Sus scrofa: one gene and its partners. The main gene of each other region encodes a partner of the protein of the gene in region 3 in a complex. Links are inferred from orthologs where the notes say so. Each region holds a gene or a part of one and is shown on either strand. Other genes may lie near its edges.

Region 1 (3,500 bases), on a different chromosome or scaffold from region 3:
GCTCCAGGGCCCTCACGATCTGCCATTGAGAACGGGAAGGAGGCGGAGGAGAGAGGCGGTTACTCCCGCTGGCCAGTGACGGCAGAGCGGGAAACTCCCTCCCACGGCCCCTGTCACCCACCCCCAGGGACCCAGCCCAGCCCTCCTCACCCCAGCTCCCGCCCGCCCCCAACCCCGCCCACATCTGCTGTGGCGGGCGTCCTGGTAACCGCAGTGCAGAGGCACCAGCCTTCTGCTTTGCTGAGTGGCCCAAGACCCCTGCAGAGCCCACACCTGTGACGCCCAGAATGCTGCCCCTACCCCATCAGGCTCTGCAGCCTCTCTGCCACCTCCCCCCGTGCCCCCCAGCAGAGTCAGTGGACTGCACACTGGGAGCCGTTCCCTACAGGAACTGGGCCAAAGATTCTGATTCAGCACCCAGGCGGGGGTACCCGGACATGTCAGCAGGTGCCGTCAGGGTCGAGACCCACTGGTACCCTGACTCCATGCCCTTTCTTGCTCAGGCCCAGGACTGCTCCCTGCTCTAGGGACGTGCACGCTCAGAAGGCAAACATATGGACGCCAAATGTCCCCCAGCCTAGCCTGTGCCCCGTGAGCCGCCTCTGAGTGTTTTTAGGACCAAGAAGTTGTCAACATTAAGTCCTCGTCTGGGACCCCGGAGGCTTGCGAGCTGCCCAGAGAGGCCTAGAGACCCTGGCCAGGGGACAACTGGGGGCCACAGAAGGGGCCCAGCTCTGCCCACGACACCACATCAGGACAGGCTGTGGCTGCGGAAGCAGGCCTGGGCTTCTGGGCCCTAGAACCCCCAAGCGCCTCCAGGCCTGAGCCACTTACAGACACAGCAATTTCCCCCAGAATGTCCTCTGGAATCGTCATGTTTTTCTCCAGCACCTTCCGGTAAAACTTGTCCAGGGACGTGTCCATGAGCTCCATGCAGATCCACACATCTCCCTGCAGGCGGCACCGGCTCAGCCACGCCCGCCCGCGCCCGGAGCCAGCGCCTCCCCACAGACCCGCGGCCCTCAGCCCTCAGGGGTTCGCGGACCTCCCAGCTCCCTACACTGGGGTTCGCGGACCTCCCAGCTCCCCTACACTGGGGTTCGCGGACCTCCCAGCTCCCCTACACTGGGGTTCGCGGACCTCCCAGCTCCCCTACACTGGGGTTCGCGGACCTCCCAGCTCCCCTACACTGGGGTTCGCGGACCTCCCAGCTCCCTACACTGGGGTTCGCGGACCTCCCAGCTCCCCTACACTGGGGTTCGCGGACCTCCCAGCTCCCCTACACTGGGGTTCGCGGACCTCCCAGCTCCCCTACACTGGGGTTCGCGGACCTCCCAGCTCCCCTACACTGGGGTTCGCGGACCTCCCAGCTCCCCTACACTGGGGTTCGCGGACCTCCCAGCTCCCCTACACTGGGGTTCGCGGACCTCCCAGCTCCCCTATGCTGCCTCCCAAACCCCTCGGGCCGGCCCACCGCCTCCCCAACCCCCCCCGCCCCCGCCCCCTCCCACTGCCGGGTCTACAGGGCAGCCTTCCCCCCCCATCACCTCTGGTCTCCCCATCTGGCCTCTCCTGCCTCCCTAATTACACGGCAGGTTCCAGGGAAAAGTGACTAAAACACACACGTGACTGAGTCCCTCCAGCAGGGGCTCTGGGACCCTCCTGTGCCAGCTCCGCTCTGCGACCCCGCCTGGCCAACCCTTCCTGCCTCAGCCCCGGGCCCCCCGCCCAGGGCTCACCCCAGAGGCCAGACTGGACCTCGCATCCAGCCAGACTTTATTCAGCATCTACTGCACCGAGTCCCTGCTGAGGCACTGGGGACACAGAGACATCGTGGCAGATGGCTCCCTCCTCCACCTGCAACGCACTGCCCCACGCCTCAGCCCTCGGGACGGCCTTCGGAGGACGCCGGCTGCCTGGGGTACCTGCCCGCCCTGGGCCCCCGCCAGCTCCAACCCAGCATGGGACCTGGGCCTGACACGGGTGCTCAGCCAATCGGGGACCCACCCCTGGGTCCAGGGCACCCAGCAAGCCTGGGGACCCCACCGGAGCAAAGGGCGCAAGGCCAGGCAGGGGAGCCCTTCCTCCACCCCTGGACTCTAGGAGCCCAGTGTGGGTTCCTGGTCTCTGTCCCCAGCCCCCGCCGGCCCTGCACGCCATCGGGCCGGGAGAGAGGCCCCCCCTCACACACCTGCCCTTCCCAGCCCCGCCCCCCGCCCTTCCCCGCCCCCGCAGAGCCCACCTCTCTGAACAGGGCCCCGTAGAAGGTGACGGTGTAAAAACAGTCCACTGTGCGCATGTTGACGTCCAAGTCCATGAGCAGGCGCTTCTGCTCCTGCGAGTTCACGGTGGCCCGGATGCGCTGTGGGGCGAGGGCAGCCGTCAGGTGGCTGGCGGGGGGGCCCCCAGGGGAGGGGGGGCGGGGGCTGCTCACCTTCACGGCCATGATGGTGCCGCTCTGGGCGTGGCGCACCTTCTCCACCACCCCGTAGGCTCCCCGGCCCAGCTCCGAGATGGTCACCAGGTCGTCGGCCTCAACCTCAAAGTTCTTGGGGACAGAAGAAAGAGAGGGTCCACGGGGGCCAAGACAGGTGCCAGCCCTCACCCCCCACACACCGTCCAGCAGAGGTGCTGGGGCAGCAGAAAGAGAAGGCCACCAGCCCGGCTGATCTGTGCTCCAATCCTGCAGCAAGCGCATCCTGCTGGGTGCCCCGGGGCCAGTCCTGCACGCCCACTGAGCCTCCCCTCGCCTTCCACAGAACAGGCACAGCACCAACGAGCAAGGGCTGCTGGGAGGGTAAGCGGGCTGCCCGGGAAATGCTCCCAGCAGGCGCGGGGCCCTCGAGCCGCCCCATCCCTCTGGCCCCCGCCGCTGCAGCAGCCAGACCGGACCACGCATCCAGCCAGCTTTTACTCAGCATCTACTGCATCGAGTCCCTGGTGAGGCACTGGGGACACAAAAGAGGCAAGAGACAGGCCCCGCCTCCCAGGGAGCAGCGTGGCCCGGGCCGCCCACCGTCTCTTGCCCTGTTTCCAGAGGCAGGCGCAAGGCAGCGAGCAGGTGAACCAACAGGACACTGACAGCGACAAGTGGGGGGACTCAGAACCCAGGCGGGAGGGGGTGTTGGTCGAGGAGAAGCTCCAGAGTGAGGCCTCTGCCCAGAGACCCTCGGCGTGTCCTGGGGCGACACACGGTCCCCAAGCCCTCAGGAGGTTCTTGGGTGCAACTGAAATGCACGACCCCAGACGCCGGCCCCAAGGGCCAGAACCGTGGTGGCCACACCACCCACGCTGAGGTCAGGGACTCCATGGCAGCCCCGGTTTGCCACCTCCGCCCCCTGCTCCAGATGGGCCACACGGCCAACAGCAGGGAGAGAGTGCTGTCCACCCCCACAGCCACTTCCCGGGGCCCTAGGGGTCAGCTGGGAGCAGCAAGGGCCCCGCGGGCTGGGCACACCCACCCTGTCTCCGATGGTGATGAAGGTCCGGGAGTCCAGGTT
Region 2 (2,323 bases), on a different chromosome or scaffold from region 3:
GGCTTCAGATGTGAAGCGAACAGACGGTGCGAGCCTTCTTCTGTGCCTCTGCGGGGTGTGGTCAAGCCAAACCCCTACCAACAAGGGTGGCCGCAGGAGAGGCCAAAATGGCAAAAGCATGACTGGGGGCTGGGATGTTTAACATTTTTTACTTTGCTTTTAAGAAGCCCTAACAAGATGGCAGCTCCTGCTGCCCAGCTGACTTTCACAAAGAACAAGCAGAGACTGCCACGGAGCAGGGGTCGCTCCACGTAAAGTCACTGTGATCATAGTTTGCTCATAATCTCTTACCCTCCCACAAAGTCAGACAGACAGACACACACACACACATGGGCACGCACACACCCCCCCTTCCACCACGGAGGAAATCTTTGCAACAAGAGGCACTTGAATGATATTCGGAGAGTTCCCATGAAAAGGCCTTCCCCTCACAGTGAAGTGGGATCAGCAGAACAGAAACCGGATTCTCAAGACTCCATCTCTTCTTGGTCGAGGGGTGGCGGCACAAAGCTGATGACTTCATCGTAGGTCAGGCCTAGAAATCAGGAAGGAAAAGGAGGACGTGAAAGTTCGGACTATTCATTTTGTTGGCAAGCACCCTAACTTCTAAGCTCAAGATCCTTCCTCCCTGTCCAGACTAGTGGTTCCATGGGCCACTTCAAATAACTGCCTCACCGTTTGTGTGTGATATCCTGATGGAACATGTGATTCCACAGAAGTTCAAGGATACATACAAGAGAAGCATCCTTTATTGCTTCTTTAATCATCCAGTGCCTCCTCTTTAAAACTCTCTGAAGATGCTTGAGAATAACGTAGTAATCCCATTTGCTGTAGCAACAGATAGTCCTGGCTTTTGAAATTTCACTGGAGTTTTCTGAATGTGTGTTTTATGGAGAGACTATGAAACTGAGCACAGGAGACCTGGGTTCTATTTCTGGCTGTGTCCCTAATTAGGTCTAAGGTAACAGTTAAGATGTTAACTTTCTTCACCCAAGTTCTATCAATTATAAAACTGTAAATGCACCCTATCCCCTACTTAGCTGGGAAAGATGGTATAAATGCAAAAATTCTGAGAACCTCAAAGTTCTATGCAGACGTGAGGGGCTGTGCACAAAATCAGACCAGACAGAAGCATCTCAAAGGTCCAGAGTGTCATCATCTACAACAGACAGTTTCCATCAGAGGAACATACTCATTCTGCATTAGAGACCTAACGACAAGGTTTAACAAGTTGGATTTAACCAGGAGTCCGCACCTCCACCCCCCACCCCCCTGCCCTCCCCCACTGACAGCTTTTGGTTTGTGGTTCACCTGGCAAAGATTTTTAAAGCTACGTGTTCATCATGCTCAGACTTACTTTTCCATTCATCTATAAGGAGGTCCCTGCTTTCAAAAGACTGATCGTAAGGATCAGCCACTGGTTCATCATCAGGATCATGGTACTGAGCAAAGTAGGCATGCGCAAGGGCTTGGGCTGCTGTAATTCTCTTATCTGAGTCCAAAACAAGCATCTTCTCCAGCAAGTCAACAGCTATCAGTGATGCAGATTGGAAGGAAAAAAGAGTTTTTAACACACTGCCAAAAATGTATGCTTTATTAAGCAAAACACAGTTTTGACCTTTTACACCAAAACAAAGAATTCTCCTTCAATTCTGGGATGTTACTCCTTTCCTCTTTTATTTTTTTTTTTTTTTTTTGGTCTTTTTAGGGACACACCTGCAACACATGGAAGTTCCCAGGCTAGGAGTTGAATGGGAACTGTAGCTGCCAGCCTAGGCCACAGCCACAGCAACGAGGGATCTGAGCTGGGTCTACAACCTACACCACAGCTCATGGCAACACTGGATCCTTAACCCACTGAGCAAGGCCAGGGATGGAACCTTGAACCTCGTGGATACTAGTTGGGTCCATTATCACTGAGCCACAACGAGAACTCCCCTTTCCTCTTTTATGTTTGTTTGTTTTTGTCTTTTTTGTCTTTTCTAGGGCTGCACCCACAGCACATAGAGATTCCCAGGCTAGGGGTCGAATCGGAGCTGTAGCCACTGGCCTACGCCAGAGCCATGGCAACTCGGGATCTGAGCCGCATCTGTGACTTATACCACAGCTCATCGCAATGCCCGATCCTTAACACACTGAGCAAGGTCAGGGATTGAACCCGTAACCTCATGGTTCCTAGTTGGATTCGTTAACCACGGAGCCATGACAAGAACTCCCCCTTTCCTCTTTTAAATATATGTGTGCACGTGCATGGATGGATGTTGTATTTTTTCTTTCTTTTCTTTTTTGGCTGCCCAGCAGCATGAGGAGTTCCTGGGCCAGG
Region 3 (3,500 bases):
GCTGGAGAGGGTGTGGAGAAAAGGGAATCCCGCTGCACTGTTGGTGGGAATGTAAATTGGTACAACCACCATAGAAAACAGTATGGAGTTTCCTCAGAAAACTAAATATAGTAACTACCCTATGATGCAGCAATCCTACTTCTGGGCATATATCCAGACAAAACTTTCATTCAAAAATATACTGCATGTTGGAGTTTCCGTCGTGGCTCAGTTGTTAATGAATCCAACTAGGAACCATGAGGTTGTGGGTTCTATCCCTGACCTTGATCAGTGGGTTAAGGATCTGGCATTGCCGTGAGCTGTAGTGTAGGTCACAGACCCAGCTTGGATCCTGAGTTGCTGTGGCTCTGGTGTAGGCTGAAGGCTACAGCTCCGATTAGACTCCTAGCTTGGGAACCTCCATATGCTGCCTCCATATGCTCTGGGATGGACGCAGAGTTTGGGGTTAAAGGATGCAAACTGTTACATTAAAAATGGATAGGCAATGAGGTCCTGCTATACAGCACAGGAAACTATATCCAATCACTTGTGATGGAACACGATGAAAGATAATATGAGAAAGGGTGTGTATAGATGCACGACTGGGTTACTTTACAGCAGAAATTGACAGAACAGTGTAAATCAACTGTAATAAAAAATTTAAAGATAAAAATAAATAAATAAATAAAATCAGAAGGAAGTATTACATTAGAAATCTTGTTCACTTCATGGAGGGGCACTTATCCCTGGTGTGAGTCTGACATTTCCGTTTGGAATCTGTCTCGTGTGCAGCTAACTTACTTGAGTCAGACCTGCTTCTGGGGTTGCCCTCTGAGTTGGAGAATGACGTCTGAATGGCAAGCTGGACGGCTTTCACTTCATCCTGAGGTTTCGTTTTACTCCACTTAATTGAATGGACGTGTTTAGTGCTTTTTGGAGTTCTAACGTCGCTCTGTTAAAAAAGGGAGTAAGACACCCACAATCAAATACTCAGGTTTATAAAATAGAAAGGAATGAAAATCAGGTTATCAGATACCTTTACTGTAACTCCTTAGAACATTAGCATAATGCGGTAGGTAAAATTTTTGCACAGTTTGTCTCAATGTGGTAATTTGATTAAAAGAAAAATTTTGACCACTTTATTCCTTAGTGGACTATGTAGTTAAAAAGGCGGTTGTCTTTCCTAAGAATTTATTTGTTGGCAAATCTCAACTTACCTCTTCATTTAATAAGTAATGAAAAACAAGGTCATTTGCTTATAGTAGTTAAAAAAAAAAAAGATATGTTGTTGAATAAATGATAATGTGAGAAGAAAGAATCTATACATGTCTGTGTCACGGGGTCACCATGCTGTACAGTAGAAAACTGACAGAACACTGTAATCCAGCTATAACGAAAAAAATAAAAATCATTATATTAAAAAAAAAAATCTGACCACATTTTGCCTGTGACCATCCAGGTAACTGGGTGAGTAGGATTAGGCTGGCTACCCTCACCCTTAAACTCTAAGCACCAAGAAAGCAAAGCTCTGTTTTTGGTCATTGTTCTATATACCTGGTACCTCATACGTGCATACGTGGTATGCAGAAGGTGCTCAATCATTAACTGATGAATGCAAGAATGACTTCCTCTATCTCTAAGTAAGTGTATTTTGTTCTCATTCCTTCTCAACACTTTGCTAGAATAATTACATTGATCTTCCCATATTCATGCTGGTTAAATAGTTTCCCTTCCAATACATTTTAAGCACTCTGAGGGAGCAGATAAATCCCTGCTATGAAACTGATAGTGAAACCCATCAACCCTCCACCCTCAAGCTTACCTCGTATGTGACAGTGCATTCTACAGTCTGATTTTCCAGTATTCCTATAATCCACTTCTCCATCACAAACGGGGGCTGAAAAACAAAAGTTAGGTGTAGGTAGTGGCATAATACAGCCTGCTTTGCAAGATCGATGGTTTCGTTGAGGCTGGCTGGGCCACACACAATTGGCAGATAGGGCATGATGTCAGGTTATCATGAAAGCCATGATGTTGGATTGTTAGGAAAGTCATGTTCATTCACACATGTCTTTTGGTTTTCAAAAGACATCCTTTCCTATGTTTGTGAACAGCTAGTCTTGGTGTCCTATGATCTCCTCTTTTCCGATATATCACTCAATCTTATCTTTAGGTCATTCATTCATGCTAATATTTGTTTTTGTTCGTTTGTTTGTTTCTTTTTGCTTTTTAGGGCCGTACCTGCGGCATATGGAAGTTCCCAGGCTAGGGGTCGAATCGGAGCTACAGCTGCCGGCCTATGCCGAAGCCATGGCAATGCCAGATCTGAGCTGCATCTGAGATCTCACCAGAGCTCACGGCTACACCAGATCCCAATGAGCAAGGCCAGGGATTGAACCTGCAACCTCATGGTTCCTAATCAGATTCATTTCCGCTGTGCCAGGACGGGAACTCCCCTTTACGCTAAAATTTGGAAGCCTCAGCAGAGAGTTTACTCACAATTCAGAGAAAGCCTTAACAATATAAGGACCCCAGAGTGCCTGTTTTGAGTGCCAGTTGTGGCTGGTTTAGCAGCTTCATAACCTCTCTGCTTTCTAGCTATATCAGGCTATCTGGCCACACTGTGAGGACAAATAAAACAGGGGAGACATTTCCTCACTGTATTAAAATAAAGAAAAAATGAAGAAGCCTATGCCTTGGACTCTATTTATTTATTTTGGTCTTTTTTTTTTTTAAGGGCTAAACTCCCGGCATATGGAAGTTCCCAGGCTAGGAGTCTATTTGAAGCTGCAGCTGCTGGCCTACACCACAGTTCACGGCAATGCTGGATCCTTAACCCACTGAGTGAGGTCAGGGATTGAACCCACACTCCCATGGATACTATTTGGATTTGTTTCCGCTGTGCCACAACAGGAACTCCAATGGACTCTATTTTAAGTTTGATGAATATGGTCTTTATTAGAAATGAATCTCCAGAGTTCCCTGGTGTTGTTACCGCTGTGGCTTGGGTCACTGCTGTGGTGCAGCCAGAAATTTTGCATGCTGCAGACTCGGCCAAAAAAAAAAAAAAAAAAAAAGGGAATCTCCACTCTCTTCCCACCCTCTTAATCCTTCATTCCGGTTTAAAGGCTGCAAATGACTGATTGACCGTGAGATGAGATAGGTACAAAGTAAACAAAGTAGAGATTTAACTGGGGATTAAAAAAAAACAACAAGAGTAAAACAAGGAGAAGTTTATTAATGTGTATACCTCATGTATACCCTGGAGATACGCAGGGAAAAATGAGTTAATTCAAAGAATTCAGGATTAAATGCCATCTTAATGGACAAAGGGAAAGAGCAGTATATAAGCCTCTGAGGGGAGAGTGAATGATTTTTAGGAAAATGAATGGTCCCTTAGAGGAAAACATGGGAAGCAGGATAGCTTGTGACAAAGTTTGTGACCAAAGTCTGGGTGTGGAGTCAACTGCCAGTCTCTCCTGCAAGAAGAATCAATCTTCCTTGGTGGTGGTTGTTGTTCT
Region 4 (3,500 bases), on a different chromosome or scaffold from region 3:
TTCATGGTTATTCAAAGCCTTCAAGACCAAAAGACTAGAAACAACCCCATTTCCTCCAGTAGGGGTCTGGATAAGTGAATGGTAACTACCCACATCATGAAATATAATGCAATTAGGGGAACAGGGACAACATCACACAGACATTGTTATGCTGTCACTCACAGGGTGACACTGGCATTATCACTTTCTCACCAGTGTAGGCACTGTTACACATACCCACAGGCAGATGAACACACACTCTCACAAAGATGCTATCACGCTGCTACACAGGGACACTGTCACAGGATTGAGGCTGATATTACATAGATATGTGCCTTGTCAACCTCAAGCAAAGGGACACGGTCACAAGGGCAGAGAAAAACAGTCACAAAACATAAACACCCTCATAGGACACAGTCACATGGTGGCAAAACTCCCAGGGTTCTAATTTCAACCCAAGGAGAATCACAGGAACACAACCACACTGCCATGTGGATCAGGCATAGGGACAGGTAAAGAAATGCTGCCACATTGTCACACAGGCAAGGTAGCATCAGCAATACTCATAGAAACAGAGACCCAGTCACAGGGAAACAGGCTGGCTACCATATTCAGGGCAAAGTCCTGGGGACACAGCCACAGTTATCCAATGGCACAGGGATAGACACTGTCACACAGGTATGGGAAACCTGTCACCTAGGGACATGAGGTCAAAGTCACCCTTATCCACGGCTGTAGATTCCAAGGACAGTCTCATTGTCCTGCATAATGACCCAGACTCAGACTCTGGCACTCAGAGAGTCACAGTCACCCACAGGTGTGTGGCACTCACCAGGACTGCTGTCACATGTGCCCAGTTACCAAGACTTTTATACTTGCAGGGACAAAAGCAAGCTGCCACCAAAGGTTACAGTGTCACCCAGAGGCACAGGGACATGATCATACCATCGCACACTGACACTGAGAAATTCACGTAGGCATTCAGAGTTCATACAAACAACCACACACACCTCCGCACTACAAAGACACATACATTGTCATCCGTGTTACAGGTCCAACTGCTATGGACTGCATGTTTCCCTGCAAACTTCATATGTTGAAACCCAACCTCCAGTGTGATGTCTTTGGAGGTGGTGACCTTGGTGCCCTTGGGAGATGACTAGGTCATGGGGACTTTGCCTGCATAAATGGGATCAGTGTCCTTATAAAAAGGGCCCCAGAGAGCTCCCCGGCCCTTTCCAAAGTGAAGACACAGTAAGAAGGCATCTGTCTGTGAATGTGGGAGAGGGCTCTCACCAGACACTGGATCTGCCAGCGCCTTGATCTTGGACTTCCCAGCCCTCAGAACTGTGAGAAATAAATGTCTGTTGTTTAAAAGCCCCCTCCCCTATCTGTGGTACTGTGGTATATTATAGCAGCCCAAATGCACTATCACTCACCAACAGTTGACACTTCTCTATTTCTCATGGTGACAGGCAAATTATCATAGTTACAGAGCATCCATACAACCCCTGGTCCCCATGGCTAATATCACATTAATACTGACACACATCAGTAGCCCATGCATACATCAAGACTCCGTCACAAATTCAGGCTGACAATCAGGTTGAGACCCCTCCCACCCCGAGAGATTCATACACTGAAACACTCACAGAAACACACACACTGAGGACACCACAGGGGCCAACATGACAAGGCAACCACCTAGTCCAGCGGTCTGCCCATCTTTTCCGTAAGAGTCACAGGGTAAATATTTTTGGCTTTGCAGACCACATAGTCTTTGTTGCCACTACTTGGCTCTGCTGTCAATGCCAAAGCAGCCTTAGGTGACAGTAAATGAATGGGTGTGGCTGGGTGCCAATAAAACTTTATTTACAAAAAGGCAGTAGCAGATCTGGCCCAAGAGCTTTGGTTTGCTAACACTTGATCAAGTGGAAACTTTGAGTGGGACAAAATGAGAAACTGAGGCCCAGAGAGGGTCAAGAATGGGTTCCAGTCACATGATGAGTCAGAGCACTCACCTCCCTGCCCCAGAAAGGAACCCCCTATGTGACTGGGAGCAGAACTCTACAAGATAGGATGCAGGCTAAGCTGTATCAGGGCAACGGACTCACCTTGGGCCTCATCCGGGGCCGCCTGGCTCTCCAGCTGGCAGGCCTGCAGTGCCCGGCGGAGCTGCATGCGGATGATGTCAATCTTGGTCTTACTGTCCTGCAGCATCTGTTGGGCCGTCAGCAGCAGCTTCCGGTCCTAGAGGCAGAGATGGGCCGTGAGAGGAAGGCTGGCCAGATGGGAGACTGACCAGCAGCTCTTCTGTCCACACCAGTGCAGGCCCTGAGTAACCCATGGCATTTGAATCCTGGCTCTGCTACCTAAGACTGCTATCTGTGTGACTTTGGGCAAGCCACTCAACCTCTCTGGGCCTGTTTCGTCATCTACAGGACTGGGATTGCTAATTGGATTGCAACCACCACTCGGCTGAGGATTAAAGGAGCTAATCTGTATGTAGGGCTCAGTGCTGTGCCTGGCACCAGCAGGCACTGTATTTGTGTCAGCTGTCAGAAAGGCATACGTGTGGCTCAGTGTTCCCCGTGGTGGGTGTAGCCCTGACAGGAGTCACGTAGGTGGGTCCAAGTTCCCTGACCAGGGAACTCCATATGCCTTGGGGTGGCCAAAAAAGAAAAAAAATATACTACACATCCCTTTGTTACACCTCAATAAAAGGTTTAAAAAAAAAAAAATCTGGCATGGTCTGTGCCCTCCCACGTAATATTCACCTTTGTGTGTGCACACAGGTATGGGTGCTCTCCCGGGTCTCTAGCTATAGGTCTGGCTGTGCTTGTGGGTGTATCTCTGGGTGTGGGTGCAGACCTGTGACTGTGTTCTTGGTGTTGGTATAGCTGGGGGGAATGACTGTGTGACAACTCTGCTCTCTGGGTGTGAATTTAATGGTGTGCGTGTCTGTGTGTCTAGACGTCTGTTGGCCTGTACTGTGTGTCCTGGGGTTATTATGATGGTATGTCTCTACGTGTCCAGAGAGCCCTGTGGTAGTCATCCTCCATGTGTCCAAGTGTTGTTACTGCTGTGTCTCTAGATGTTATAATGGTGTGTGTGACTCCAGGTGTTGACCTGCACGTGCACATGTCAGAGAGATGCCAGTAGCAGTGAGAGGCTGCATGTTGCCCTGTCCACAGAGGCTGCTGGGTCTCCAGGGCTAACTGCTGTGTGTCTGTCTGACATCACCCAGTCACTCTGTTTCCCACATACCACCATGAGCTGCCTGCACCCCAGTTCTGCCACTCAGTCATTCATCAGTCCCTCTGTTCCCAACCCAGAGGGCCCAAACCTCCCATGGGGGACATGTAGGTACCCCCCCAAACCCCCTCACTGTGTGATGTGCTCCAGGCGTATGTGCACACAGGGGTGTGTTCACTCGTGCTGCCCCCACCTTGGTGCTGCCGTTGCTGTACGTCTGGATCATGTTTTCCGCCCCCTGCTTCACCTTCAGCTCGATGGCCAGC

The links. Proteins that work in one complex are often made in the same cells at the same time.
Region 1: MAP3K20 (region 3) and MAP2K3 share a complex: the UniProt entries of both Homo sapiens proteins name them as parts of the signaling complex. The link is inferred for Sus scrofa from reciprocal best matches to the Homo sapiens genes MAP3K20 and MAP2K3.
Region 2: MAP3K20 (region 3) and MAPK14 share a complex: the UniProt entries of both Homo sapiens proteins name them as parts of the signaling complex. The link is inferred for Sus scrofa from reciprocal best matches to the Homo sapiens genes MAP3K20 and MAPK14.
Region 4: MAP3K20 (region 3) and PKN1 share a complex: the UniProt entries of both Homo sapiens proteins name them as parts of the signaling complex. The link is inferred for Sus scrofa from reciprocal best matches to the Homo sapiens genes MAP3K20 and PKN1.

Annotation. Positions count from the first base shown.
Region 1 is NC_010454.4:61,406,369-61,409,868, reverse strand, and holds part of MAP2K3 (dual specificity mitogen-activated protein kinase kinase 3), read right to left. Parts: coding exon of another isoform or gene 3,462-3,500; 5' UTR 2,900-3,461; coding exon 2,435-2,899; coding exon of another isoform or gene 2,363-2,434; coding exon 2,243-2,362; intron 952-2,242; coding exon 835-951; intron 20-834; coding exon 1-19. UniProt on the Homo sapiens protein: Dual specificity kinase. Is activated by cytokines and environmental stress in vivo. Catalyzes the concomitant phosphorylation of a threonine and a tyrosine residue in the MAP kinase p38.
Region 2 is NC_010449.5:31,857,398-31,859,720, reverse strand, and holds part of MAPK14 (mitogen-activated protein kinase 14), read right to left. Parts: intron 1,532-2,323; coding exon 1,358-1,531; intron 1,160-1,357; exon of another isoform or gene 1,078-1,159; intron 536-1,077; coding exon 468-535; 3' UTR 1-467. UniProt on the Homo sapiens protein: Serine/threonine kinase which acts as an essential component of the MAP kinase signal transduction pathway.
Region 3 is NC_010457.5:79,366,513-79,370,012, reverse strand, and holds part of MAP3K20 (mitogen-activated protein kinase kinase kinase MLT), read right to left. Parts: intron 1,877-3,500; coding exon 1,802-1,876; intron 932-1,801; coding exon 781-931; intron 1-780. UniProt on the Homo sapiens protein: Stress-activated component of a protein kinase signal transduction cascade that promotes programmed cell death in response to various stress, such as ribosomal stress, osmotic shock and ionizing radiation.
Region 4 is NC_010444.4:64,814,684-64,818,183, forward strand, and holds part of PKN1 (serine/threonine-protein kinase N1), read right to left. Parts: coding exon 3,428-3,500; intron 2,230-3,427; coding exon 2,094-2,229; intron 1-2,093. UniProt on the Homo sapiens protein: PKC-related serine/threonine-protein kinase involved in various processes such as regulation of the intermediate filaments of the actin cytoskeleton, cell migration, tumor cell invasion and transcription regulation.